6 linked regions of the Mus musculus genome follow. The protein of the gene in region 1 purifies or fractionates together with the protein of each later gene. This does not show direct contact. Links are inferred from orthologs where the notes say so. Each region holds a gene or a part of one and is shown in the gene's direction. Other genes may lie near its edges.

Region 1 (5,251 bases):
GCAAACTAAACCCTTGTTATTTACCTTCCTGCTGGTATAATTAGGTAGGGAGGATTTAAAGTTCTGCACCACAGCAGTTTAGGAACAGTGGCAAAGGTCTTTCATAATAGCATGGAGAGGCACCATTCAAATGACAAAGTTGCCAAGCAAGGCGGCTGCTTTTAAGATTCTTTACCCTCCCCCATGGCATCGGGCTACCTTATAGACGATTTTAATTGTGAAGAACAAGAGTCTCTTCTGCACTTGAGGCATAAAGTCTCCGATAAGGAATGAGATTACAAATTGGCTGCCTGTCGGGCACATTTTCCTGGGATTTTTTACTTTGTTGGTCTACGTGGTTTCGGCATATCGGTTGCCAACACGTCAGATTTAGAGATCACACATAAAACTTCAACGTTATGGTTTTGGTAATTAAAAAAAAAAAAAAAGGAGAATACGATTATTTTAATGGTGGACCCCCTTAAGGGCATGGATGGAACTCCCGTTTCCACATCATCTAACATTCCTATTGTCTTCCACCAGGCCGGTGTCATTCGCTTTATTTGCCAGGCCTCTACAGACATCTGAGTCTGCAAACACTATCCAGACCTTTACTGGCTCCCTTCAAAGCTTACTTTGTTCTGTCCCAAGTCCCTCATCAGATTTTAAAGCAATAGCTAAGCAATCTGATCAAGTACGTGTACTTTTACATGTGCTTTCTGGAGATAGCATCTCAACAGAAAGAGATGACTATGCGGGTGGGTATTACAAGTATCACGGGATTACAGTCAGGATTGCCAGTGTCCACTCTAACTTACTCTAGTCGTAGTAGCCACGCCACACAGCTCTCGGATGGACCAAGGCAATGGTCTCCTTTGTAGAACAATGGACGCTGGACTACATGTGAAACCTACTTAGGCAGCAGTGTGCTGATCATCCAATAACACTAAAAACTGCTGCGAGCAATTCTGACTTGAGCTTCCTCCTAGGATTCGAGGTACTGTCCTGACCACATTTCCCCTCACCTGTTTTCGGGGCTGCTTTTGCGCTGGACAGTCGCGCCCATGGACCGCGCTCATCTAGCATGAGCTCATCTCTCGGGGGCGTTTCCAGAAGGCCTGGTCTGGCCTTGTGCGCCTGCTGCAAAGGGCTCCCCCCCCCCCCCCCACGAGATCAGCGGCCCCCCGCGATGGGCGGGCGCGGCTGCCCAGAGGCTCTCCTTCTCTGGAAGCTTTGTTCCCATTTAAGCGCTAGAGGGTTCGGCCCCGGCCACGGCGCCCTACGTCTTTCAGAGAATAGACGTTCTCATAGGCTCAGCACGCGCGGTGGGGAGCCTCGGGCGCACTTGGTAAGCCGCGCCCCGCGGAGCTCCCGGGAATGGGGACGGCCTCACGCCCCACTAGAGCGCTCGGGGCCCGACCCTCCGACCGCAGCATTGTCGGACCGGGCTGCACAGCCAGCACGAGCGTCGGCTCGGAAAGCAGATGCAGGCCGACCACTCATCCCGTCCGCCCGCTTAGGGACCACCCGAGGCCAATCCCACTGCAGCTAGGTCTTGCGATTGCACAGCAGTGAGCGCCTATTGGCCGCCGCCACGGGCTCCTGCACCCTCCTTCTCCCTTTCGAAGCTCCCCTCCCCCCGCGCTCCAGCTCGACGCTGCAGACCAATGAGATGGCACTTTATAGGTGCCCTCCCTCCGCTTTCTTCTTCTCCCCGCCTCAAAGAGGGAGGGGAGGCTCTGACTGGCCCGATGTCCTCGGAAGCCCCCTTCCCTTCACCAATCACCGAGAAAGGTACACGCCCAGCGGAGTTGTCCAGCCAATGAGGAAACGGGCGCGGCGCCCAGCCGTGCAGTTCCTCCCGCGACTCGGGAGTTTCGCCGTCCTTAACTCTTGAGGCTTTTCCCTGAGGGCCAACAGCTCTGATTGGCCACTGTCGCTATTGTCGACTCTTCTCTCTAGCCAGCCACAGGACAAGGAGAACCCTCTTCCCTTCTGTTCGGCTACCTTCGGCATTCCTCGTTGCTGGGGCGTGGTCTCCCAGCGGCGTCTCCTCATTGGTTATCCAGGTCGCTCGGCTTTTTCCGGCAGGAGCTGCAAGCAAGCGACGTCTCTGATTGGTTCCGGCTTGGGTTTCGGCTCTACAGCCGAAGCTGGCGGGCGCGGGCTCGGCGAGCGATTCCCAGACGCCTGTAACGCGGGCGGCGGGGCGCTGGGCGGTGTAAGGGCTGGGTGGGGGAGGAAGGAGGCGGAGGACGAGTAGGAAGGGGGAGGGGGAGTGGGGAAGGGCTAGGCGGCTGCGCAGACGGCGCGCCTCGCACAGAGCAGCCCCCGACCCGGCCGAATGCGGGCTTGTGTCGCCGCCGTCGCCGCCGCCTGGGCCGAGTGACAAAGGAAGGAAGGCAGCAAGGAGGAGCCGGCCTTGCAGCCGCTGACAGGGCTTCGGGCTCCGGGCACAGCGCGGACACTTCCCGAGCAGCCGCTGAGCAAAGGCGAGGGGCGGAGGCCGGCCGTGCCGGGGCCACGGACGGGGGAGGGGACCCCGAGGGACGGAAGCGGTTGCCTGGTTCCCATGTCCCCGGCGTATGGGGAGCAGTCAGGGAGCCGCTGCCTGGGGTCTGAAGGGAGCTGCCTCCGCCGCCGCTGCCGCCATGGCCGCTGGATCCAGCCACCGCCTGCAGCTGCTCCTGGCGCAATGAGGAGAGGAGCCGCCGCCACCGCCCGCCGCTGACTCGCGACTGCGCTGCCCTCCGGTTCACCCGGCCGCCGCCGCCGTCAGACCGCCGGATCCCGCTGCTGCCGGAGCCGCAGCGTTTGCCGTCGCATCTCCGAGCCATCTCCTCCCTCCTTCCCATCCCCCTTCTCTTCAAGCGTGAGGCTCGTGATCCTTCCGCCGCTTCCCTTCTTCATTGACTCGGAAAAAAATCCCCGAGGAAAAATATAATACTCAGAGTACTTATTTTCAATCAAGTATTTGCCCTCGTTCACGTGATATATATATATTTTTAAGGATTCCACTCCACCCTTTTTCTCCTCTTCCAGGAAAGGGAGGTGAAAGAATTGTATTTTTCTCCCAGCTCTAAATCATCTATGTGTTAAATATCCGTACCGATCTGTCTTGAAGAAATACATAGCTCCTTTTTTTTTTCCTTCTTCTTAAATAGCTATACAAAAGGAGTGAAAAGCCAAGAGAACGAAGTCTTTCTTTCTCTTTCTTGCGGGAGAACTTAATGCTGCATTTATCATTAACCTAGCACCCTAACATAAAACAAAAGGAAGAAAAGGATTAAGGAAGGAAAAGGTGATTCAAGAAGAGCCATCATGTCGGGGCGACCGAGAACCACCTCCTTTGCGGAGAGCTGCAAGCCAGTGCAGCAGCCTTCAGCTTTTGGTAGCATGAAAGTTAGCAGTGAGTATCGATTTTATTTTACACCCTTCCTCCACCTTACCATTTAGATAAGAAACCTCGAAATACCAGGATCTTACACTAACAGACCTGATAGAACAGTCAGTGGTCGTGGAAAAGGGCAAAACCAGCCTTGAGTCAAGAAGAGGCAGGCTCCTTTTCCTCCTCCCATTCCCGTACCCCCTCCCCCCGCCTCATTAACCTTGGATTGAGAGAATATTAGTTTTATTTGCCTGATTGGATTTGAAACTTCTTTTCTTACGTTCTCCGTGCTGCTGGTAGTCTTTTCAAGTGCTCCAGTGCCTCCGGGTTAAGCGATGGAAGAAGCGTTCGCTTGCCCATCCCTTTGAATAAAGAAGAGGAGGACAAGGCTTGATTAATAAACCATGATGTACATTTGCCGAGTCCTTGTCTTCTGGAATGAGGGAGTTTATCTTAGTTAGCTCAGGTTATCAGGGTTCTGTATTCAAAATAGAGATATTAAATGCCCCAGCCTCCTAATATTTCCTATTTGCCCGTGTGACTACACAAAGTATTTTTGAATCTGGGGATGAACTTGCTTGGTAACCCACATTGCCGTTGGAGGCAAGCTAGCATCCATCCCTCACTCGTCTAGGGGTGGTGGAAGCTGATAAATATCCCGCAGCAGTCGCATCTCTAAGTGCATTGTTTTCAAGTGGTTTAATGTGTTATCTCTTAACCTTCCTGTTTTGACATTACCAATCTGCCACCATATAATTTGTTTAATCAAAAGGTAACTTGGAAGGAGATTCAACTTTTGATTGAGGTTGTATTGTCATTTTGCCACAAACTAAGTTAAGTGTTGTCACTGACTCCTCATTTAAGTTTAATTTTGAGGTGGCATTGCATTTATTACTTGTTATTATTATTATTATTATTTTTAAGAGTACAAGAGGATACCCTTTTAGGATAATTTAAAATGTGTCAGTATCTGTCAGTCTTTCCCGGGGAATCTGTGCTGAAAAAAAAGAGTCTTGTGTTCTTGAAGTGTTTGGTATACTGAGTATCCAGTGTTCAAATGTATCTATTTGTGGAGATGTTTATGTGGTATTTCATGACAGCTTATTAGAACATAGTTGCAGATTCTGGCCAAAATATCCATGTTGTTTTCCTTATTCGATGAGAAAGAAGAGGGAGGACACAGATAAAACTGTTTTGTTGCTGAGAGGAGCTGATGTAACTGAAGAACTAAGATTTTTAAAAAGTCAAAATGCATGTGCTGTTATATGCAATTGATTAAGCAATTGGACCTGTTTCCTTTTAGCTGCAGTCCTGTAGGCTTTTGGAACTTGTCTGAAACAGAGAAGCCCAAAGTTATATCCAAAGCGATGGCTGAGTGGGAGAGATTTTTGCAAGTTCACTTTTTTCTTTTCCTTCAGTGACTAGCAAATTTAGAACGCAGGGCATGTTAAGAGGGAAGCTGATTTCGCATCTTTTAGGGAAGGGTCATGCTTTCTAAGCACTTTACGGAGTCATTTGAATGGAATCTAAAAAAATGCTAGGGTAATTATCAGTTATGATGAAGTAGACTTCATGGTAACTACTGAAGAACCTTTCATGGTACTTAAGTATTTGTGTGTTGTATGCTTTGGCTAGTTAAAAAAAAAAACCTGCTCAGTCCATTTTAGACCATTTATTTATTAGGTTTATTTCAGAGATCTGTAATGCTAGAATAAATACCAAAATTGGGGACTTTTCATATTGTTTCCAGGATTTTCTTTGAAAACAACTTATTCTTGATAGAGGTTCTTTAGGATGGAGGAGCTGTGAGAGGACTACAGCTTAAAGTGTTTTAATTTTAAACATTAAAAAAATTAGAGTTTAATGTTAATTATTACTATTTTT
Region 2 (4,941 bases), on another chromosome or scaffold:
CCTCTCCCGTTTGCCAGCTTAGGGCTGGGTTTATCAGCACTGGAGAGGGGGAAAGCCTGCATGATGGCGACTCGGTCTTTAATCTTCCACTCTACCCATCTCTGGAAAAGAAGCCATTGATCAACATCCTGGTGAGAGGCTGCAGAGGGAGCGGCTTCCTTCTCTTCCCCCTTCCTTCCTCTGACTACTAGGGGGGGTAATCATAACTAATGTTCAGAGCCCTTATCATAGTCTGGGTATTCCAAGACAAAGTCAGGCTTAAAAAGGTGAAATTTACAAACACCACTTAACCCAAATATCTTAACTGGGGATCACTGTGAAAATTATGCAGGAGATATTGTAACCTTTTTTGGTACTAAGTGTTAAATCCGTGATATTTTCTACGCACATTGCCCTAGCACATACACGATGAGGCTGTCAACACCTTGCAGCTACTCAGAACCACACACTGCAGGGGCCTATTTTATTTATGTATTTATTTAGGCCCACTTTATTTATTTAATTCATATGCCTAAAATTGTGTCCCTTGCTTTCATTTTCACATACTTAAGGGGAAAGTTGACTGAAGGAATAATGAAGTCGCCTTTTCTCTTGTTTTCTCATGCAGCTCAGATTTCTTGCTTGGTCAATGATTTGATCTGCCCATCTGTCTGTACTGCCCATGACGCAGTCTGGCATAATAGGAGGCTAGGGCATTATCAGGACTCCGGGCTCCTCTTGGAAGTCTCCCTACATCTGGTGCTTCTGTAGGCACGGTAGGGCCTCCATTGATGACAGCTCACTTGTGGAGACAGTAGTCAGATTAGCCAAGCAGAGGCTTGATAGGGGCTCAGATTTCCTGGACCGGATGACAGGCCCGAGTCCGGAACCCCGGGTATTGCGGGGGTCTACACAGGATGCGCGCTCTGTCCATCAGGAGCATCTCAGCATCCGCTTGCGCTCAGCTGTGGTAGATCCGCTAGGGCCTCCTCCTCTTCCAACAGCAGGGATCTCCTTGTCCGCCCAGCGTCCTGTAACCCCATCCCCCTCCCTGCCGTCCCATAGCACCCAGGGCGGAGTCGCCCACCTGTCACCGAATCGTCCCACGTGGGTCTGCGGTAGGAGGGTCGAAGGGAGGGAGAAAAGACAGAGGCGTGGAGGGAGGCAGACGCAAGAGCCACCGAGGAACCGAGGAGAGGCTGAGATCTCCGAACAGCTAAACAATCTAGAGGACCCCCCACCACACCTGGTAAGGAAGGGACAATAAAGGAGACAGAAACGGGTTAGCAGAAAGAGAAGGAAAAAGATGAGAGCGATGAAGGGGCTACGTATACGCGACAAGATAAAGATGGAGAGGTGCCCTGCAAGAGAACGGTTCTAGCTAGATGACGACGGGCTAAGGGTAGGGGGTGGGAGTAGCCGGTGGTGGGCTTGAGGGGGGTGGGGATGGGGTTGGAGGAGGATCCTAGGCGTCTGCGCCTTTAAGGTTGCCAAGGCAACCGCCCTGGCCAGAGCGAGGCGCATTGACGTCAGCAGCCGAACGCTGATTGGCCGCGGTCGGCTGGTTTCCGGTGGAGCCGTCGCCGAGCCGCTATCGCAGAGTGGTAGTGAGGCTGCGAGCTGAGCCCGCTGGACGCTCGGTCACCCCGGCCGCCTCGCCCTGCGTTAGCCCCTGCTCGTGCCGCCGCCCGCCCTCAGGTGAGTGCGGGCCCGAGGCCTGACCGGGGAGTCGCCGGCCGCGGCGCTCCGCTGCGCGTCCCTGAAGGCGCGGGAGCGAGCCAAGATGGCGCCCCGGGGAGCGCGCTGCGGGGGGACGGCCGCACCCCCTGCGCCTCCGAGGCGGCCTCGGGGCCTGTCGCAGGCCTCGCACTGTCCCCCGGGGTCCGCCCTTGCACCGTTCCCCGCGGGGCCGTAGGCCGCCCCTGCCCCCCGCCGTTCCGCCCCCGTCCTGAGTGTCTCCGGGTCCCCGGTCCTGCGCTGCCCTCGGCTCCCCGGCCGCCTCCGCCCCCGCGCGCCGCGGCCTCGGCGCCCGTCCTCCCTCCCCCACTTCCTGAAGGACAAGAGCTCGGTATTTTTTTTTTTTTTTTAAACCGGAATCCGCCATGGCTTTTCGGTCTTAGCCTCGCCACTCGGCTGTAGTCTTCATCTCTGCCCAGTCGTTTCTTCTGCCCTGGCTTCCCCCCTCCTCTTCGCGGGCTCGTCTCCCTCCACCCCTCCGCTCGGTGATTTCAGCCTAGCTCCATTTCCCTTTGTCCCCCTAACACTTCTCGTCCTTTCCAGCCCCCACCACCGCCCACCCCAGCCTCCCCAGGCCTCCCGCTCCGCTCCACTCCACGTCTGCGGCCTCCTGCCTGGTGGGGGATGAGGGGCCGTCTTGCTGCTCTCAGTGATCATGACCGTGGCCTAAGTGAAGTGAAGGGCACTTTCCTGCCCTCCCTCGTGAAAATACGCGGCGCCCGTTAACCCTTAACTCCAGCCCAGAGCGGGTGTGGGGACAGCCGATGACTTGAGGGAGCCAGGATAGATAGGTTTCTTGAGCAGAGAAATGAAGGCTCGCATTTAGATGATGACCCCCACCCCACCCCCCAGGCTGTGTTAGTGTTACTTGGCATCCTTTAGATGTGGGCCCTGTCAGCAACAGGCTCCCAAAGGCGGTTTAAATATGTCCTCCAGTATAGTCCTTCTGAAAGCAAGAGTGTCATCAGAACCGAATTTCCTCAAGAATCCCCCTTCTTACGAATACTCGATGCAGTGATGATGGTTTTAGTGTTTGTTTTGGAGAGAAGCTAAGTTGTGGGGTTTTTAAAAAGTAAATACAAACGTGGAACCAAGACATACCCGATTAAAAATCCTAAGGCCATAAAATTAGATTATTTGGCGTTTCACATGATGACTGGTGTTTGTATTTTCTTTACCAGTGCCTGCCTTTTGGTCTTTGTAATGCATACACCATTTTTCACTTATCAGCCCTAGTTGCGCCATCCTTCCCAGCCAGAGACAGGATCTAAGAGGGATTTCTCTGATCAGTTAAATATATGTGCTGACATTCTTGAAATATGGCTGGATGCTTCGAAGCATAATAGATTTGTTTTTATCCACGTTCCTGGTGGCCTTCAGTATTTGAAATGGAGAAAGTTCCAATGAAGTGGATTCTTTGTCTCGTTCCGTGCTCTGACCTGGAAGCACAACAAGAACAAACGATATCTGACAGTAGAAACCTTCCCTTCAGTGTTTCTTCTGAACTGACGGTGGTGTGTGTGTGTGTCTGTCTGTCTGTCTGTGGCTTCTAATTTCTTTCTGTGCTTGTCATGGAGCTACAAACTTTGTCCTGGTCTGTTGCGTGCATATTATTGACCTTTATCTTGAAAACTGTCAAAACAAAACATTAGTGCAGCACTTTAAAATGGCTCCTTATCCTTATCTTTTAACTCACAGGTTAACCTTAGAGGGTCTGTGAGCATTATAATTTGAAGAGTGGTTATGTGGAATTGGTATGCAGAGTGGAGAGGGCGTCATCTTCTAATCTCAAGTGCTTAGTAATTAGGAGTTAGGAGGAAAACTGAATAGCTGCATAAAGTACTGAGCTTTTAGTCCTGAGGCAGCTTGGCTGCCCATTATTGTGTTTCTATTTCATATTAATGTTGCTCAAATTCAGTTTTAGCTATTGAGTCATCCTGTAAGCTGTAAACTAGCATGTTTTAATATATTCCTGTCTAGATGAAGAAAATCTTAGTTTGCTTGGTAGAGATTATTTTCCTCTAGTACAGCCTTTTCAACTCTTTCTGCTGGTAATTGTATTTCTAAGTCACGGGCAGAGTTAGTCAAAGAAGGGAATGAAAGATTGCTGAGGAAAGGCACCCGAGGCTGCTTTTGTGTTTCAGAAAATTCGATTCCACTAATATTTGGCTAATCAGCTTCTTTGCCCTTGTGGTTTGCTGTGACATTAGCTGCGCTCATGGGATGGGAGGTGCACTCAGGGGAATGTCAGGTGTTCTTTGTGAGCTGTGCTTTCACTTAGAGCCGACCTGTGTGCCCTTGTAATTCTCTGACCTGCTTCCCACTTACATACTTCCCACGTCATCATCGTCATGTCTTTTGCAAGAGAACTGAATGAAATCTCCAGAGGGCTTGGGGCCTCAGCACTGCCTCAGTTGCTCAGCAGGGCAGGCACGCTGGCTCATACTTCCTCCCAGGAGCTATGGGTCTTCTCTGCGTGACCTGCCCAGCGGAGACAGTAGAAACTTGGGATAGTTTATATCCAACCCCCACCTCCTCTTTAAACACAAATGCTGTTGAGTAAAGAAATGTTTGAATCTGCTGTCTCGTGAATTTAAGTAAGTCCCAGGCCAGATCTGCATCTGTGCTTTCTAGCTTACCCAGCATGTGTGTTCTTTGTCTCCCAGAGAACCATGGCGTCTGGCAGTATGGCAACCAGTGAGGAAGAGCGGAGTCTCCGGGAATGCGAGCTCTATGTGCAGAAGCACAATATCCAGGCCCTGCTGAAGGACTCCATCGTGCAGCTGTGCACTACGCGGCCCGAGAGGCCCATGGCATTCCTTCGGGAATACTTTGAGAGGTTGGAGAAGGTAAAATTCATGAGGGAGCGATTTGATGACCATGACAGTTGCTGTGCTTAGAGCTTCTGAATGTCAACTGATGTGTGACTTCGGGCAAGAGGGGTTCTGGCCAAGTAAGTCAAGCAGAAATTCAGATTATCATGCAGTGAAGGATTTTTTAGTAATTTTAATTAGAAGTTGCCAGAAACCAAATTGATGCTGCTTGTGTGGCTAAAACAGGTTTCCTGATGGTTGTTGTTTTTAGCTATTTGAAATAATACAGAAAATAGACTAACAGAATCAATCAAAAGTAGTGTGACAGTGAGTTGAGAGTTAGTTAAAGGCAGTTCATGCTTTCCTTTACCAAGCAGGCGAGCTATTAGTTTATTCCACCTTTAACACTATA
Region 3 (4,451 bases), on another chromosome or scaffold:
TTTTATAAGATAAAGTTGTTTGATGAATGTGTTTCATAGAACAGTACAGTCTTTGAAGTTTCTGCAACTCTACAGAAGGTATTGAATGTTTTATTCCCCTTTTAGAACTATCTAAGAAAAAAAAAATACATGTGGTGATAAACCTGAATGCTGGACAAGTACTCAGATATGAGCTACATCTCCAGTGCATGAAACTGAACATAGCTTATTCACTTACAGAAAAAGGGGCTAAGTAATTGTCTTAGTCAGGGTCTCTATTCCTGCACAAACATCATGACCAAGAAGCAAGTTGGGGAGGAAAGGGTTTATTCGGCTTACACTTCCATACTGCTGCTCATCACCAAAGGAAGTCAGATCTGGAACTCAAGCAGGGCAGGAAGCAGGAGCTGATGCAGAGGCCATGGAGGGATGTTCTTTACTGGCTTGCCTCCCCTGGTTTGCTCAGCCTGCTCTCTTATAGAACCCAAGACTGCCAGCCCAGAGATGGTCCCACCCACAAGGGGCCTTTCCCCCTTGATCACTAATTGAGAAAATGCCTTACAGTTGGATCTCATGGAGGCATTTCCTCAACTGAAGCTCCTTTCTCTGTGATAACTCCAGCTGTGTCAAGTTGACACAAAATTAGCCAGTACAGTAATCAAGCACAGAGGGAAAAAAAACAGTTATTGATTCTTTAATTCTCTGTGTTTTCCCTTTTTATAGGTAAACGAAGATTTAATATTAAATTGTGGAAGACATTCACTGATTGTTTTAACTGTCTGCCTATAGCTGCTATTGTTGATGAGAAAATCTTCTGTTGTCATGGAGGTAGAGTAATACATTTGCTGTTTAGAAGAGAACTGTAATAATGACAGTACTGTGGGAAAGCTGAGTGTGGCAGGAGGTGTAGAGCAACTAGAAGCCAGCTTGATTCCAGGCCAGGCAGGCTTAGGAACACCCCGTCTCAAAATAGGAAATTCTTCACTGGGCCTTACAGAGAATGCCTCCTATACAAGTGTTAACAGAAGAGTGGTCCACACACACTGGAATCCCAGGACTCAGAGGCTGAGGCAGAAGGATCTCAAGGCCATCCTGGGCCATAGATTCTACCTCAGAAAGAAAAGAGAAGGGAAAGAGAAAAGGTAATTAGATGTGTGTGGAGTATTTTTACTTTGCCTCAATTTATGCTTGACCAGCTGGTCAGATGATTTCCTGTGGTGCTGGGATCTAGCTCATACCTCAGATTTTAATAAAAGGTACTTGGCCATCATTAAGAATGAGAGGCTAATTATTTTTCTGTCTGTATTAACTACCTTTTATCAAACTCTAAACATAATTCATACAGCTTTCCAAGTTTTGTGCACTACGCCAACATGTTAGGAAATGAGGACATTAGAATATAGAGATTAGAATTTAGATCAAAAACAGTTTTCAGCTCTCCAGCTTTAGCACCCAGCTTTACCTTGGTGTGTTTCTCATTTATGCTCTGAGGATCATAAATTGCCATGACTAATGACTTTCTAAAGAGCTTCAAATGTGTAGTAGTCATGAACAATTTAGTCTTCTAAAGATGAAAGTTTTGTAAGTTTACACACATGAGAACTCCCTGAAGAATATGCAGTAAACTTTTCTATGATAGTACGTGTACACACACACACACACACACACACACACACAAAAAGTTTTTCAAAAGTTAGGGAAGATTATGGTAAGGGCTTGCTTTGAAAGTCCTGTGACCTAAATTCAATCCTTAATCAGGGATCTTGAGGCCAATGAGGTTTCTTCCTTAGAACAAGGTAGAAGCAAGTACACATTTACTCTCAGCACCCAGGAGGCAGGTAGGTATAGTTCTGAGTTCAAGGCCATCCTGGCCTATGTACCAAGGATCATGCCAGCCAGGGCTTTATAGTGAGAATCAGTCTCACCACACACACGCATACATGAGCACACATTTACACACACTATGGAACAATTTAATGATATACAGGAAAAATGGTTTCTTGGTATCATACATGGTAGTGTCTTTTGGGAAGCATAGAGGTGGAAATGCTGAAAGATGGTGGCGAGGCCTGAGACGTGAGTGGTTTATTCTGACAGCACAGTTCACTCTATTAGTTGAAATGTTGTTTTCCATAGATACTGACCATTAAAGGCATTGGCAGAGTTGAGGTGGGAATATGGCAGTGTGGAATATGTGTATTTAGCTTCATTTCTTGTGGTACTTGAATTACCTACCAGAGAAATAATACCTTATGTTCTACTTTACAGATATATTCTTGTGCTTTTTTTTATCCTTCTGATTATTAGTTTAATGCACATTTTTGCAGATAATGAGACTGTTGAGGTGGGATATGGGGAAAGGTTCCTAGGGGACCAAGAGAGGCGTATAACTTGCAAGTAAAAATGCTTTATGGGGATCTGGTGGTCATGAAGGTACAGAAGCAGTAGGAAGGTTGCAACTAAGTGTGTTCTCAGGAAGGGGGAGGGCAACTGCAAAAAAGTAGTAGAGTTTCTCCTTGGAATCTCTCGAAGAATAATGATTTATTTCCTTGGTAGAAAGATAGAAAAGATAGCATGAGTATAATTCTGCTAGATAGCAAGTCTCTTTCTTTCTATATATAGGACTGTCACCAGACCTACAATCTATGGAACAGATTCGGAGAATTATGAGACCCACTGACGTACCTGATACAGGTTAGTATATACAGAAGTTCAGTTCATTGCTTTACATAAGATGTTGACGTGCTTGGACCTAATTATATTTAGTGAAAGTCACTTAGAAACCTAGTTTCATCCCTGAAAACAGTTAACAAAGTGATCAGAGCAAGAAAAGGAGCCGCCCTGCCAGTCTTAATTAAAGTCATTAATGTGTTCATGTCTTCGTGATAAATCAGTAAAGTATTGCAATATAGGCTGGTGCTCAGTAGTAGTGTAATGCAAGGAGTGGATAAGCTGTGTACAGGAAATGCTAGCCAGAAAGGAAATAAAGGCCTCCACGTATTACATATACTTGAGTATGCCACACACATATTTCCTGTATGCAGAAGTCAACAGAAAGTACTACCCTAGGAAGCTAGAGAAAGTTGTACTTTAACAAAGACTGGTTTAGACTGGAGTGCCTAGGGACAAGGGATGATCATTGAAGTTTAAGAAGGCAGGAGAGATGTGCTGTAAATGTGTGCTGTATTCTGTGCTTGCTTCTATTTCACTGTTGGTTTGTTTGTTTTTTTTCTGTTTTCTAAAGGTTTGCTTTGTGACTTACTGTGGTCCGACCCAGATAAGGATGTGCAAGGCTGGGGAGAAAATGACCGTGGTGTTTCTTTTACTTTTGGAGCTGATGTAGTCAGTAAATTTCTGAATCGTCATGATTTAGACTTGATTTGTCGAGCTCATCAGGTATACAGTATACGATATTTTATTGTTAATTTCACACATTTTCATTTATTGGTAGGTAGGTAGATAATTTACCCTGATGTCTTTTAGTTTCTGTGACACTTGACCAAGGCAGCTTATAAAAGAAAGAATTTAATTTTGAGCTCACAGATTCTGTGACCATTGTGGCATGGAAAGGGGTGGCAGGCAGGTAGGCATGGCTCTGGAGCAGTAGCTGACAATGTCCATCTTGAGGCAACTGCCATGGGGCAGAGAGCGAGAACTAAGAATGGCTTCGGCTTTTGAAGTCTCAAAAATCCCACCCTAATACTTCCTAACAGTTCCACCTTCTGAGGACCAAACATTCAAATATATGAACTGATAACCTAGGGAAGGTAGTGGGGGAAGGGGGTTAGAGAGTTGGCTCAGTGATTTAATAGCGCTGGCTTTTCTTCTAGAGGACCCAGGTTTGATTCTCAGCATATTATGTGTCAGCTCAAAACTGTCTGAAACTCCAGTCCCAGGAGACCAGACACCTCTAGCCTCCAATAGCACCAGGCATGCAAGCCATGCAGACACACTTGTAGCAAAACACCCATACACATAAAATAATTAACTACAAACTTAAAAGGTAATATGACTTATATGTGAAGAACATAGATGAGGAGGCAAGACTCTAGATCTCGCAAGTCAGTACCAGGCAGTGTTAGCTTAGGCATCTCACTCTGAGTGATTATGTTTCAAAAGAGAACATTCTGTAGTACAGTGAGCTAACTGCAGCCCCACAGTGCTTTGCTGGTTTCCAGGTGGTCTGTTCTCTTTGTGGCCTCTGTGTGATATGGTAATAATCTGATACTACCCAAATGTGTCAGTATTGTTTCTTACAAAAATGAACTGTGATATGAGAATTTTTCTGAGACAGTTGTGGAATGCAATTATAAACTGGTTAATAAATATTTTAGCTTAAAAAAAAAGTCATTATTGATAGTGTAAAAGAGTGTCCACTGTTCAAAGTGTTCATGATCCGTAAACCATAATTGGTTTATAATATATTGGCTGAAAATATTTTTTACCTCTTATTTTAATTTTGTTTTTAAAGT
Region 4 (4,451 bases), on another chromosome or scaffold:
AGTTGCTGAAGCTATTGAGAAAGCAGAGAGAGAGTTGAGCAACACGAGTTTGGCAGCTGATAGTGGAATCGGACAAGATGGCATTAGCTTTGCTGAGAGCCTTACTACAGAAATCATGACAACAGCTGTGACAAATGCTGGGCATGCTGTTAGCAGGTACGTTTCAAATTTTTTGTCAAGTCTTGTAATAGAATGAAGAGTTAACTTTGCCCTGTATGTTTTAGGTTCTGTTCATAAAAACTCTACTTATTTTCATCCTAACTTAACAGAGGTCTTCTCTGTTGCATTTGTATGTAGCTTCATGTCCTGTGCTTGGTTTTCATATGAAATTTTTGTTTCCCGGTTCCTTTTGTGAGTAATTATTCATTTACAGGGCTGGAAGATGAGAGAAAACACAATAACATCAACTAAGAAGCAGGTAATCAGAATAAAGGAAATGGGTGAATTTTATTCAAGAGTTTAGACTGGTATATTTACTACTCTGAGATTAATATCTGTTTCTATGGTCGAGACAGTTTTCTACACATGGCTTGGACAGTTTTTATTCTTCCTCTTCTATCATAGCAGCTTCAGAAGAGGAAACTAGATGGTGATTCCTAAGCCCTCACTCCCAGGACTCGGCCAATAACTCTGCTATTCATTCTTCAGATTATTCATCTTCTTCTTAGACCTGGCCAGTAATGTACCCCGCAGTCTTCCTTAAGCTTGTTTTAATCCAGACTGGAATTTGTAGGCTCTCTCTTTGTACTTCTGTTCCCAGGCTTCTGTGAGAACTGCAGAGTCCACTCAGTTGTATATAATTCTGCCTCACATTTTATAAAGTTAAAATGATTTACAATTGAAGAATGATTGATTCAAATAGATTATTCACTAAGATGTTAACTAAATTGTTTCACTAATGTTTCTTTTCTCATAACTGTTTGATTAATGGTAGAATATATAATAGGACGTTACAAACCCATAACGATCAGCTGGGAGCCATATGAATTTCAAATAGGAAAGCATATGACAGTGGAATTTTAGAATAATAATAGATCTAGACTTTATTTTCAATTAGCATGAGTCCAGTTACCTAGCAGTCATTACAAACCCTCTTTTACCCTCCTCCTGTGAATCATTTTCTTAAAAATGTGGTAGGTAACAGGAAAAAGTGTTAAATAAAATAAAGTTGTGGTGGAAGATACCTGTGTTTGGAATGCCAAGCCTAACTGAGTTGTCAGATCTTTTTAAATGCAAAGTGAGAGGTGCTTTAAAAATGGGAAGGGCAGTTCAAGGCTTAATTTAGGTGTTAGGGATATAAAAGAAATTGAAACAGGCAAAAAAACCAAACAAAAAAACAAACAAACAAAAAAACAACCCCAAACCAAACCAAACCAAAAACCACATTGTTCTGCAAGAGCTGGGGGTCCTGTGTTCTGGGCACTGCTGTAGAGTGACTCAACTTGGAGGATGGCAGTGAGGGACCAGCTTATACATATATGATGTTTGGAAGTCAATGGAAAGTTTTGATCAGAAAACTGATACCTTTTCTCTTCCTGCTTAAGCATCACTCTTTAGAACTGTGTTGACGATATACAGATGGAGCAATTAGTTTAGTTTCTCTAAGACAGGGTCTTACTATGTAGCCTTGGCTAGCTTAGAATTATGTAGATCAGACTGGTTTTGAATCACAGAGATACCTCCCAAATGCTGGAACATCAGTTTCTGCTAAGAAATATGTTTATGATTCATATTATGAAGAGATTTCTTTAGTTTGAATATAGGCTTGGTTGACACAGCTAGAATTTCAAACTGCATTTCTAATACTAAAAGCCAGAAGGAGGCTCTTTTAGATTCAAATGAAGGTAGTATTTTTATAGGTCAGATGATTTGCTTAGAACTTCTAGTGAGGCGTACTTCTGCTCAGTGTCCTGTTGAACGTGGAAAGTGCTTTCAACTGAATGTAGATGCACAAGGGTATTGTCTAGGTAGCAGATGCGGTCCTTGCTGTGCTGATGTTCAGTCTTCATTATGTGCAGATGCAGCGACATGTTCAGGGGTGTTAGTGTCACCGGGGATATAATTCCTTAGTGTCAGCTTTATCATCTTCTTTCTTTGTCACAATTTGTGATGCTTCAATTGTTTTTTAAATTATTACCATGTGATCGTTTCCTAGTTCAAGAGAAATAGAAGATTTTCAGTCAACTGAGTCACTTGGCAGCCAGCAGATGAATCTCAGTGTTGGTGAAGACAGCACAGGTAGCTGGTCCAACTTAAGTTTTGAGGATGACCATCAAGATGAAAGCAGCAGTTTCCATCATCTCAGTGAAAGGTAACTCTGACTGTATAGTTAAGTGTGTGAGAAAGGTCTCTAGACTTAAGAAAAGTGAGCAGTGGGTTTGTGTTATTTAAAAATTCTCAATTTGGAAATCTGTCTATACATCCAACATTTTATTATTCACAATGTGGCTCTTTTGTAGTTTTTACTTTAATTGTTCTTAAGGGTATGGCTTTCTTCTGGTGTGGCCCAGTCTGGTCTTGAAGTTAAGTTTTTCTCTTAACTTTCCAGGGTCTGGATTATAGGCTTGTGGATTATATTGCCATCCCTGGCTTCTCAATGGCTTTGACACATATTAAATGCAGTGAGGGAACAGAGCAAATATCTTCGGATATACTGACAGCTGACCTGAAAAAAAGTATTGCAATATTGAATTTTATTTCCATGTTAAGTTTTCATCTATGTTGTGGGAGTATAATTTATCACTTTAAAGAGCATACCTTCATTAGAAAGCTATTCATGAGGACAGTTAGGTGTCTGTAAATGGCATTACTATAACCCTGCAGTTTCCTGATACAAGCTATAATAAATAGTGTTTCTAGGGACAGGACTTCTGCTAGGAACAAAATATTTTATGTCGCTTCTTGGATTGAAAATGCAAACATTGCATAGTCTTAGATTTTTTAAAACCTACTTTAATAAGGGTTACTAAATACTTTAACCTCCCTTCTAGCCCACCACTCACCTGAGGTAGTGGAAATGAAAGGTTAATAGGGCACAGGGGAATGTGGACCTATTTAGAAATAGTTCTTTGGGGTAATTCCAGTCTTCATTGTCAGGACATCAGTGGTTGAATTGATGTGAGTCAGCAATAGTACTCCATCCACTCACAAACATCATTCACTAACCAGCAACGGCAGTTCAGTCCAAAGTGGTAAGCCACCCAGAATATCACCACAAGTTCTTCGATGCATTTCTCTCTATGAGGTCATGACAAATGATGATCAGCTAAGGAGGCAAGACAAACAAGTGCCACAGTGCTGTCAGCCAAGACCAGCATCTGCAAAGCCCAACAAAGCCCAGCAAAGAGTGGCAAGGTAAACCAATGCCACAGTGTAGTCCACTGTCTGCTGGGTTATACTTATACCCTTTCCAAACATCACATGTTCTCTTTCCAGGCAGCTTCCAGAAAAACACCATGTGTCTGTTCTCAGCAAAACATCCTCTCATAACACAGTTTTCAGAAAAACGTCACATGACACAACTGAGTCTCCAAAGAAACCAGAAATTTCACTTTACATGAATCTGTAAAAAAAAGTTTTATATACTTGAAGACATTTACTTTACATGCAAATTTTCTAGTTAACTTTGTTCACAATAGCCTCCTTTGAAATATTTCATTATGATATAGATTCTTATATTCTCACCTCTACCTAAAGGCATTCATGGGTTGCTTATGAACTCCCGTGAAGTATTTGTCCATATTAACTGACAATTGAAATAGAAGTAACAGCAATAGTTAGACCTCAGGGAGGGAGAAGTTCTCAGCATACCTCTACCAGGAGGTATATGTGGAAAGAACCGTGTGCAGTCCCTGCTGACATCGACCCTGGAAATGTTCTTGCTGGGAGAGGGAAGGAAGACAGTGTGACGTTGGAGGAGAGGCTGGGGTGGCATAAGGAGAGGAGGTGTGGCCTCTGGCCTAGGAGAGCGAGGCGTCCTAGCCTAAGGCTGGGAGGGTTTCTTTTCTACTTGGTTACACATTTTCTTTTCTTTTTTTTCCTTTTCTTCCTTCCTTCTTTCTTTCTTTCTTTCTTTCTTACTTTCTCTCTCTCTCTCTCTCTCTCTCTTTCTTTCTTTCTTTCTTTCTTTCTTTCTTTCTTATACTGTGTTTGTTATGTTATGGGAAAAATCAGTATTTTTTTACAATTTGGATGCCAAAAAATAGTCTTTAAAATGGAAACAGTAGAGCAAGGTCAAAAATCATGATTTTCCCTGGAACACTGTAATAACACTTAAGTTTTTTTTTCTTCTTTAAGGAAAACAAGCTTCCAAGACTTCAGCAAGAGTGACATTAAACTGGGAGAAGCCAGTGGTCTTAAGAGGGTTTGTAGAAAGCTCAGTAACTAGAGAGGGTTAACTGAGTTGTTGCAAGGGGCAAGTCTTTCCTGGGCTCTAGTCTTCATTCTGCCTG
Region 5 (4,451 bases), on another chromosome or scaffold:
CTCTCACCCTCTCCCCTCTCTGTCTTCTCTCTCTCCTCTCTGTCCTCTCCTCTCCTCCTCCTCCTCCTGCTCCTGCTCCTCCTCCTCCTCCTCCTCCTCCTTCTTCTTCTTCTCCTCCTTCTTCTTCTTCTTCTTCTTCTTCTTCTTCTTCTTCTTCTTCTTCTTCTTCTTCTTCTTCTCTCTCTCTCTCTCTCTCTCTCTCTCTCTCTCTCTCTCTCTCTCTCTCTCTCTCTCTCTCCTACCTTCTCTTTCCCCCTGCCTTTCTACAATAAAGCTCTAAAACCATAGAGAGTCTCTGCTCATCAAGATCCACTGTGCTCACTCTTGCTGGTGTTGGGAACCTCTTCCCTCATCCCTCTCTCCCATAACCCTGGTGGCTTTAGCAAAGTAGCTCCGGGGTTCCGAGGTAGGGCTGCCCCTTGGCCACCCCCTGAAGAGTGGGTCAGAGGCTTGAATGCCCACCCAGGGCTGAGTGGAAAGTGTATGGCAGCTCTCTCACGCCTGACAGACCAGAGAATAGGTAAAATTCTGGCGGAATGTGGGTCTTCCCCCTCCTCCTCTTCCCAAGGGCCCCTTTTTTGTTCCCAACATTTGTGGTCGTTTGTTACTGAGGCACTAGGAAGCTAATAGCAGCCACATAGTGATAATCCTACAAAATGTTTTTGGCAACTACTTTCTTCATGACACACATAAAAATACTCATGGGGCTGGAGAGATGGCTCAGTGGTTAAGAGCACTGATTGCTCTTCTGAAGATCCTGAGTTCAAATCCCAGCAACCACATGATGGCTCACAACCATCCATAATGGGATCTGACGCTCTCTTCTGGTGTGTCTGAAGACAGCTACAGTGTACTTAGATATAATAATAAATACATCTTTGGGCCAGAGCCAGCAGGGCTGGAATGAGTAGGGCCGACCAGAGCAATTGGGGCCAGAGTGAGTAGAGGTCCTGAATTCAATTCCCAGCAACCATATGATAGCTTACAACCACCTGTACAGCTGCAGTGTACTCACGCATAAAATAAATAAATACATCTTAAAAAATTAAATAAAATAAAAATGTTCATGATCATCAGGGTTCCATAGTTTACATCTCCTTACCTCGGTAAAGCTGCTAGAGAGCTGGAGCGGCTACTGTGTTTGACTTTGAGTGGACTGCCACCAACTTAGTGAGTGCTTTCTGTGGCCAGCGATGTCAGGAGACTGAAATGAAAGGTTGGGGCTGTGTCACATGATGCGTCACGTGATGCAGACTGCCATGCATCGCTGGGGCAGGAAGGTGGGAGGCCCCTTAGTGTTGGAGAGAGGATAGCTAGGGCTCAGTGGGCAGTGGGGCACTTGTTAGTCCTGTAACTCTTTGTGCTCTTGGCTTTTGTTGATTTTTATTTTGTTGAGAGAGGCACGGCAGAGAACATTGTTGACATCTCCACTGGTTTCAGTCATTTTTGTTGACTTGTATCAATTCAGCGGAGTCGTGGCAGCTTTTGCTGTATTGCCCCGCAGTGGCTGATTTGTGTTTGGTGACGCTTTGAACTGGACTCTTGCTATCCTGACAAACGGAGATCGGAATCTCCCCAAAGAACCATATCTAAGCAGGTCCATAACCCCTTGTCCAGTTTTACCATCTTTTTCTCCCCTATCTTTGGACAGCAGGCTAGAAAGGGTGATGAAGTATTTGAGAACCTTACTAAAGTAGGCTTTAAAAAACTAAAGCCATTGGGCATTGTGGCACACGCCTTTAATCCCAGCACTTGGGAGGCAGAGGCAGGCAGATTTCTGAGATCCAGGCCAGCCTGGTCTACAGAGTGAGTTCCAGGACAGCCAGGGCTACAAGGGCTGCAGAGAAACCCTGTCTAGAAAAAAAAACAAAAAACAAACAAACAAACAAAAAAAACCCTAAAGCCTACAGGGACTTTTTCGGCTCTAATAACTGAGGCACAGAGGTGGAGATTGGCTGGGTACCCTGCTATCCTCTCTGGCTCCTGCTGCTGTCTTTTCCCCTTGTCAGCATTATCGTTGGCCTCCTGTCCTCATCCCAAGATGGCTGCCAAAAGTGTGCTGTGACTGGACTAAAAAGACCATGAAAAAGTCCATTGTATGAGAACTGGAGTCAGTCTCTGCCACATCACCTGCTGACTCCACTCAGTAGGGAAGAGGCATCCGATTCCCCTCAGAAAATGTGGGCGTAACTGGACAAGGGAAAGACGTGGGAAGCAAGCAAGTCTGATATGGGCAGGACAGAACAATGCTTAAGAGCACTTCCCTGGGCTGGAGAGATGGCTCAGAGGTTAAGAGCACTGGCTGCTCTTCCAGAGATCCTGAGTTCAATTCCCAACAACCACATGGCGGCTCACAACCATCTGTAATGAGATCTGATGCCTTCTTCTGGTGTGTCTGAAGACATTACAGTGTACCCATATACTTAAATAAAATCTTTAAAAAAAAAAAAAAGCACTTCCCTATTCTCACAGAGCAGCAAGGGTCAGCTCCCAGCACCCACACGGTCACATGACCACCAAGCTCAAGTGGTCATACCACCACTCAAGCTCCAGGGGGGCCAATGCCACCTTCTGGCCTCCATAGGCCCCTGGGTACGCTTGTGCATGTGTGTACACACACGTACAGACACACATCTACACATAACTAAAATAAATCATTATCAAAAGCTTTAAATCTTCCACATCGTTCTCAAAGGGATGCATGAAGTTCCCTAGGTATCATCTTTTTGGAGCTGATGGTTACCCAGTAACCATCTGGTGTCGGACTCTGCCAGCCTGTAAGGCCGTCTTCCTGCCAGTGCTGGACGCCTGCTGACAGCTTTATGAACATCTTTTTCATGTAATGGTTATTCTGATGTCTGTAACTGTTCTTTATTACCAAGGTAAAGACATGACACACTTGGTGCTTAGGAGCTAAAACCTTCCAGACTTTTCTTTTTTTAATCAGTTCAGGGCCAAGTCAGTGAAAGCACTTATTCCTAACCACTGGACCAATGGATCAAGCTGAGTTTATAGACTATAGTAAACAGTCACTTCTATAAAACCAAGCGTATCCCTAAACAGTGTATTAGTTGAGCAGGGGAGACATGTTTAAATGATTGTGTTGCATACAATCATAGTAGAAGGTGCATCATTGGCTTTGTGCGTTTGCCATTCCTTCACACGAAGGCTTTTGACTCCCAAGTTATCTTAGTTTCAGCTTCATGGAAGGGGATTTTGAGACCATTGCTCTAACACTTTCATTCTGAGTTTCACACCCAGCCACTCTGCATTTCAGTCCCTAGTCAGCTCTTCATTCTCCTATTACAGGGCTTCACGCCGCCAGCACTCTTTTACATAGAAAATTCTAGATTTGCACAGTGATACAGAAATTAGAATTAGATTTTAGGTGCATAACATCATCCATTTTCTTAGATATAGGTGTGACTTATATTTCTTAAATATTGGTGTGATTTCAAACAAACTGGGTTCTTTTCCACTTCTGTGTGAACTTGACAGATAAAAATATTCTGTAAGCCTCAAAAAAAGGTATTTACTCAAGGAAATACATGCTAAGACAATGAGCTTTTGTTCTTTGCCTCACAGACTGACAAAAGTTTAAAAAGGTCTGGAAAGCTTGTGTTGATGCCCACAGTGCTTCTCTTTGGAGGAATGTGCACTTTGGAGCTTTGGCTTAGGAATGCAATGGAGTGCGCTCAGTGGGGCTCACTGGGCATCCTAGTAGGAGCATGGGGACAGGTGCTGAGAGTGAGTTGGACTGTGAGGTCCCAGCTTGAGAGCTTTCAGAGGAGATGTGTACGTGGCCTAAAGACCGCGCTCGCTCGGGATACTTTGCTGGAGAACGTTGCTGCTTTCTGCCCTTGTCCAGTTGCAATGTTTTTCCATTAAAAAAAATCTGTTACTCCTTTCTTGCAGAATGGAAACAGACTATAATCCCGTGGAGCTAAGCAGTATGTCTGGATTTGAAGAAGGCTCCGAGCTCAATGGGTTTGAAGGAGCGGATATGAAGGACATGCAGCTGGAGGCCGAGGCAGTTGTAAACGATGTACTCTTTGCTGTCAACCACATGTTTGTCTCAAAAAGCATGCCCTGTGCAGATGATGTGGCTTACATCAATGTGGAGACAAAGGAAAGGAACAGATACTGCCTGGAGCTCACAGAAGCAGGGCTCAGGGTAACTCACTTTTATTTTTAGAAGAAAAAAAAAAAGCATATCTTTATCATTTTATCAGAAAGGATAAAGAGGAACATTACATACAAATCAGAGATGGGTATCTTCAAAAAAAAAAAGAAAGAAAGAAAAGAAATATTTTCCCCAAAATTTTGGTTAATAAATTTTTTATCAACACAGAATTTGAGGGTGTAAATACATTTCGAAACAGTTGATTCAGTCTGCTGTAATCGTTACCACCCTTCTTTCATTCCTGTAGCTAATTTTGTCTCCCAGAGTG
Region 6 (4,915 bases), on another chromosome or scaffold:
GAGACGAGGTGAAGATAGTTTGAAAACAAAAGTTTTTACCTCAAAGAGGTAGATGAGGTTCCGGCACTGGGAGAGGACTCAACTCTGGCGGTTCTACGCGGGAGGTGGGGACATCGTTGAGGGGCGCCGACTGCGCCAGCCGCCTCCCAGCTGTCAGCCCCAGAGCTTACACGGCTTGACACGGGTTTACTCTCGCGGCGTCCAGCCTGGGTCGCTGCCACTTCCGGACACACGCCCAATACGGGGGACGCTGGAGCAGGGTCGGGGCCGAGGACAAGCAAGGCACAGCGCAGGCGGTCCCGCCTGGCTTCCCAGAGTCTTCAGGATTCCCGAGTCACCGAGCCTCCGGCGTGCGCTCCAGGCCGTGCCTACAAACTGGCTTTCAAAGGAAGTTTGTGGTTTTTCTTTTTCTTCTCTCTGTCCCTCTTTTCCCCCTGTCCGGACAAAGACAAATTAGCCAAGGACGCGGTCCCTAGAGGAGGAGGAGGAGGAGGGGCCTGCTCAGCTACCGAGGATTTCCATCAGGGCTGTCTGAGCCGGTCAGCAGCCCGGTGAGCCGCAGAAAGGAAGAGAGAAAAACAACAGACCCTTTCTCTTCCCTCCGCCTGCCGCTGGAAGGGACGGAGCGCGTGTGCCTCTCTGGTGAGAACCGGGAAAAGCAAGCGGCCTGGCAGAGCCCGGAGGAGCAGGGCGGGACAGCGGCTGTTGATTAGACCTCCCTGGATGCCCGCCGCAGCCCTCTGCTCTGGAGCCAAGAAAGCAGGGCGGAAGGGCGTTGTGTTTGCATATGTACTCGTTCAATAAGAAAGAAAATTCCCACTCCTGGTTTTCTGGAGCCCCTGAGCTCTTTCCCAAGGCTTCCCTTCTTCCCCGTATGCTTTTTTTGAAAGGCTAGGAATGAAACTGGTTCAGCTGTGTACCTGGTCGGGGGCGAGGAAGACGCTCTTCTGCCTCTTCTCACCTCCCCGAGAAGCAGGACGATCTGGGGATAGATTAAAAAATGAGGGAACATGTTATGATGAAGGGACATTTTCCCCCCAAGTAGTCTGCCCTGGGACACGCAAGTGGCAGTTAAGGGATGTTGGAACCCAGCCTTAGGTTCTGAAGGCTCCTCTAAACTCTATTGATGTGACGGCCAAAGGATAAGGCTTCAAGCAACTCGGAAAGCCGAGAGAACTGTTGCAACAGAGACCCAGGAAGCAAAGTCACGGTTGCAACAGCCCATGAATGAGGAGTATTTGCTCAGGCTGTAGAAGAAAGGCTATGAAGAAGGAGGAAGAGTTGGCACGACAGTAGGTTTTAAGAAAACAAGTCAAACATTATGGTAATGTTTTCCTATCGTGAACAAACACATTGATCACGATTTGTCAGTTTGGTAAAGGGGAGAATTTAAAAAAAAGAAAGAAAAAACACCTAACCAGGGAAGCTATTTTAATAAATAATATGTACAGCAATGTTGTAATTTAAAGTCCTAACCAAACCAGGCCTGTGAATCCAGTATTCAGGAAACTGAGGAGAAAGATTACAAATTCCAGACAGGTTGGGCTAGATAGAAAGAATTTGTATTTTAAAAAAAATTGAGAGATTAATTTACATCAATCTCGAACAGATTTTCGGTGTAATATATGGAAAGGTACTATACTTAGTCCTATCTGCAAGTTCAGATGCCATAAAGGCGAGTTATTGTGACACATACACAATTTGCATGTCATAGCCCTCCGAAAACTGCTCACTTGAGGACAAACACGAGCTGCTGGACTACATTTCCCAGGAGGCACCGCGATATACCATACTCCTCCTTGACGTCCCATGAGTCTTTGGGCTCAGAACCCAGCCTCTGCCGCTGGGGGGCGGGGCAACGCCGGACTCCCGGAGTGCCGGATTACGCACTTCCTCCTGGGGTTCGGAGGCCGAACCCTTTAGTGGCGGGTTCGAGTCCCGCCCCCTGACTCTCGGCTCTAGACCCTAGGTCTAGGGCGGGGTACATTCTGCCGGGTTACCTCTCCTGGCTGAGGGGCAACGGCACACCTCGGGCTTTACCATGGAGGACTACCTGCAGGACTGTCGAGCCGCTTTGCAGGTAACGGGTCCCAGTCCGTGACCGAAAGGAATGCAGCGTGGGGTCTGGGAAGGACGAAGGTGTGGGATCTGGGGAGCCCGGACGGTCGGTGTGGAGGGATCACAGAGATGGACGCGGGGGAGCTAGAGGACCAAGCCCTTCGGCCATAGGCGGGAGAGCCCGGAGAAAGGAGTCTCTTGGTTTGCTTGAGTCGGGTCCTTCGGCAGAACCTGTGCGGCGGCCGCCAGCCTCGCCCGGCGAGGTGTGTCTCTCCCTTCTCCCCGCCCCTCTCAGTTTCCCTCCCGCAAGCGGGCTTCAGCCCACTGGGTCCAGGTGAACCTCTGGGAGTGGAGGGCACTGGGTGCACCGCTTTATTGCCTCTGAATGGCGGTTTGCCTTTTTTTTTTTTCCCTCCTAGGTAGAGGCGGTCGTGGTGTTTTACTTTAAATCTTTGTTTTTATGCCAAATATACAGAATAATTCATCAGGCATATATGTTGACCCACAACTTACATTCCTTTGCTTCCAGTGTTCTCCTTTAGTGTTAATGCAGGCGCGTGCGCATACACACACACACACACACACACACACACACACACACACACGTAAAAATACCGCCTCCTTGGTAAGGGATAAACACAAAGTGTGTTTGGAATCTAAACCATAAGCACGGCCCTGAATTCTTTGTAGCTTATTTTTGGTGCTTCCTGAACCAGCTGGACTCGCCCAGCTGTGTTGACAGGCTGTGTGGCATTAGGTCGCTCTTCCCTTTAAAGGCTCCAAGTCACCTGGCCCCCTGCTGTAAGTTTCTCTGCCCCTGAAGAAACAGATAGGCATCTTCCTTTCAAATAACTTAGCTCGGTATGGTAGCCACAGGCCTCTAGTTCCAACTCAGAGGAGGCTGAGACTTCAGTTCAGGCCAGGTCTGGACTGGGAGAAAAAAAACCCAAAAAACAAAAAACCCACAACGACAGAAACAGAACAAAACAATCCTCTGGGCAATAGACTCTATTCTTTAACAAACCCTGAAAGTCCCCTAATTCTGCTGGAGATCCAGCTTCGTGGATAAACGAATATTCTTTTTTTTTTTTTAATTAGGTATTACATTTTCAATGCTATCCCAAAGGTCCCCCATACCCACCCCCCCAATCCCCTACCCACCACTCCCTCTTTTTGGCCCTGGCGTTCGCCGTACAGGGGAATATAAAGTTTGCAAGTCCAATGGGCCTCTCTTTGCAGTGATGGCCGACTAGGCCATCTTTTGATACATATGCAGCTAAAGACAAGAGCTCCCGGGTACTGGTTAGTTCATATTGTTGTTCCACCTATAGGGTTGCAGTTCCCTTTAGCTCCTTGGGTAATTTCTCTAGCTCCTCCATTGGGGGCCGTGTGACCCATCCAATAGCTGACTGTGAGCATCCACTTCTGTGTTTGCTAGGCCCCGGACGAATATTCTTAATTTGAATTTAGGGTGAGGTTCAACTTGATGCCAGCTACACTAAAAATTTCCTTTTGAAGAATATCAGGCCAGGCATGGACCTGCTAATCTGTAATCAGCTCTGGGTTGGTTGAGGCAAAAGGCTTATTAGCTAAAGTGCAGCCTGGGGTGCATACGGACCTGGGTGCCTTGGTGAGACCCTCTCTTCATAACCCCCCTGAGGAAAAAGAACCACCTTATTTGGGGGAAGTTGTTTTAATACAAAGGCAATTTTGTTACTTCTTTTCTTGTGGGCCGGCTCCTGACTCCACCCACCTGATGCTGGTTAAAGTGTGCTTTCACACTTTGCCTGAGGTCTGCATATTTTGTTTACTTTTTATTGCGTTTGTTTTTGCAATGGCCTTTTATAAGCCCAGGCTGGCCTTGAAGTCCCGATGTAGTTGAGGTCGAGCTTGAATTTATAGTCCTGCTTCTGCTTCCTGGTGTTGGGATTATAAGAGTCACCTGTGGTGCCCAGCTTGGCTATTTTTTTATTTTATTTATATGAGACAGGGACTCACTATGTAGTAGCCGTGGCTGGCTTGGAACTATGTAGATCAAACTAGTCTCAAATTCAGAGATCCACCTGCCTCTGCCTTCCAAGTACTGGAATCAGAAGCCCTTGAAAATAGTTTTTTTTGTTTTTGTTTTATATGTGTGTAGGTATCTGCCCATTTAAGTGCAGTGCCCATAGGCTGCAGAAGAGAACATTGGATTCCCTGGACCTGGAGTTGCATGTGGTTGTGAGTCACCAGATGTGGGTGCTAAGTACTTTCTAAGATCAGTCTGAGTTATAAGCACTGAGACATTTCTCTAACTCTGAACAAATTGTTAAACTTATTTATTTAGTGGCGTGTTGGGAGCCGCACCCATGCAGTAGACACATGTGTAGGTCAGAGGAGACTTTTGCCATGGTCCCGTCCTCCCAGCCCGTCCTCCCAGCCCGTCCTCCCAGCCCGTCCTCCCAGCAATCAAAGATAGGTTATTATGTTTGGTAACAAATGCCCATTCCTGCTGACCCATCTCATCCTGTCTGCCTCTTCCACTCTATCTTCACAAAACAATGGGTTTATCATCTTCACACACACACACACACACACACACACACGCACACACACATATTATTTAGGGGCTAAAAAGACGGCTCACCCATTAAAAGGCCTACTGCTCTTGCAATGGAACAAATTCTGTTTCTAGCACTGGATTGCTCACAAACCCCATAATTTCAGTTCCAGGGGAATGTGGGATCTCTAATCTCTGAAGGCACCTGTACTTATACATACACAAATGATTTAAAATTTTTTTAAAGTTTTTTTTTTTCCAAAATCTTAAAATATAAGTAAAAAAAAAAATTAAAGAACAACTCTCAGGGCTGGAGAG

Evidence for each region.
Region 2: the proteins of Gsk3b (region 1) and Prkar1a purify together in Homo sapiens (affinity purification with mass spectrometry; 3 studies listed by BioGRID and IntAct, with this or other methods). This does not show direct contact. The link is inferred for Mus musculus from reciprocal best matches to the Homo sapiens genes GSK3B and PRKAR1A.
Region 3: the proteins of Gsk3b (region 1) and Ppp1cb purify together in Homo sapiens (affinity purification with mass spectrometry; 3 studies listed by BioGRID and IntAct, with this or other methods). This does not show direct contact. The link is inferred for Mus musculus from reciprocal best matches to the Homo sapiens genes GSK3B and PPP1CB.
Region 4: the proteins of Gsk3b (region 1) and Akap11 purify together in Homo sapiens (affinity purification with mass spectrometry; 4 studies listed by BioGRID and IntAct, with this or other methods). This does not show direct contact. The link is inferred for Mus musculus from reciprocal best matches to the Homo sapiens genes GSK3B and AKAP11.
Region 5: the proteins of Gsk3b (region 1) and Gskip purify together in Homo sapiens (affinity purification with mass spectrometry; 10 studies listed by BioGRID and IntAct, with this or other methods). This does not show direct contact. The link is inferred for Mus musculus from reciprocal best matches to the Homo sapiens genes GSK3B and GSKIP.
Region 6: the proteins of Gsk3b (region 1) and Prune1 purify together in Homo sapiens (affinity purification with mass spectrometry; 5 studies listed by BioGRID and IntAct, with this or other methods). This does not show direct contact. The link is inferred for Mus musculus from reciprocal best matches to the Homo sapiens genes GSK3B and PRUNE1.

The regions. Positions count from the first base shown.
Region 1 is NC_000082.6:38,087,226-38,092,476, forward strand, and holds the start of Gsk3b (glycogen synthase kinase-3 beta), read left to right. Parts: upstream 1-1,775; 5' UTR 1,776-3,300; coding exon 3,301-3,388; intron 3,389-5,251. UniProt on the Homo sapiens protein: Constitutively active protein kinase that acts as a negative regulator in the hormonal control of glucose homeostasis, Wnt signaling and regulation of transcription factors and microtubules, by phosphorylating and inactivating glycogen synthase (GYS1 or GYS2), EIF2B, CTNNB1/beta-catenin, APC, AXIN1, DPYSL2/CRMP2, JUN, NFATC1/NFATC, MAPT/TAU and MACF1.
Region 2 is NC_000077.6:109,649,397-109,654,337, forward strand, and holds the start of Prkar1a (cAMP-dependent protein kinase type I-alpha regulatory subunit), read left to right. Parts: upstream 1-1,552; 5' UTR 1,553-1,677; intron 1,678-1,945; exon of another isoform or gene 1,946-2,047; intron 2,048-4,359; exon of another isoform or gene 4,360-4,382; 5' UTR 4,383-4,388; coding exon 4,389-4,565; intron 4,566-4,571; exon of another isoform or gene 4,572-4,941. UniProt on the Homo sapiens protein: Regulatory subunit of the cAMP-dependent protein kinases involved in cAMP signaling in cells.
Region 3 is NC_000071.6:32,482,658-32,487,108, forward strand, and holds part of Ppp1cb (serine/threonine-protein phosphatase PP1-beta catalytic subunit), read left to right. Parts: intron 1-702; coding exon 703-807; intron 808-2,601; coding exon 2,602-2,673; intron 2,674-3,223; coding exon 3,224-3,375; intron 3,376-4,451. UniProt on the Homo sapiens protein: Protein phosphatase that associates with over 200 regulatory proteins to form highly specific holoenzymes which dephosphorylate hundreds of biological targets.
Region 4 is NC_000080.6:78,505,585-78,510,035, reverse strand, and holds part of Akap11 (A-kinase anchor protein 11), read left to right. Parts: coding exon 1-156; intron 157-2,155; coding exon 2,156-2,311; intron 2,312-4,451. UniProt on the Homo sapiens protein: Binds to type II regulatory subunits of protein kinase A and anchors/targets them.
Region 5 is NC_000078.6:105,694,803-105,699,253, forward strand, and holds part of Gskip (GSK3B-interacting protein), read left to right. Parts: intron 1-3,915; coding exon 3,916-4,174; intron 4,175-4,451. UniProt on the Homo sapiens protein: A-kinase anchoring protein for GSK3B and PKA that regulates or facilitates their kinase activity towards their targets.
Region 6 is NC_000069.6:95,278,750-95,283,664, reverse strand, and holds the start of Prune1 (exopolyphosphatase PRUNE1), read left to right. Parts: upstream 1-1,588; 5' UTR 1,589-2,041; coding exon 2,042-2,080; intron 2,081-4,915. UniProt on the Homo sapiens protein: Phosphodiesterase (PDE) that has higher activity toward cAMP than cGMP, as substrate. Plays a role in cell proliferation, migration and differentiation, and acts as a negative regulator of NME1. Plays a role in the regulation of neurogenesis.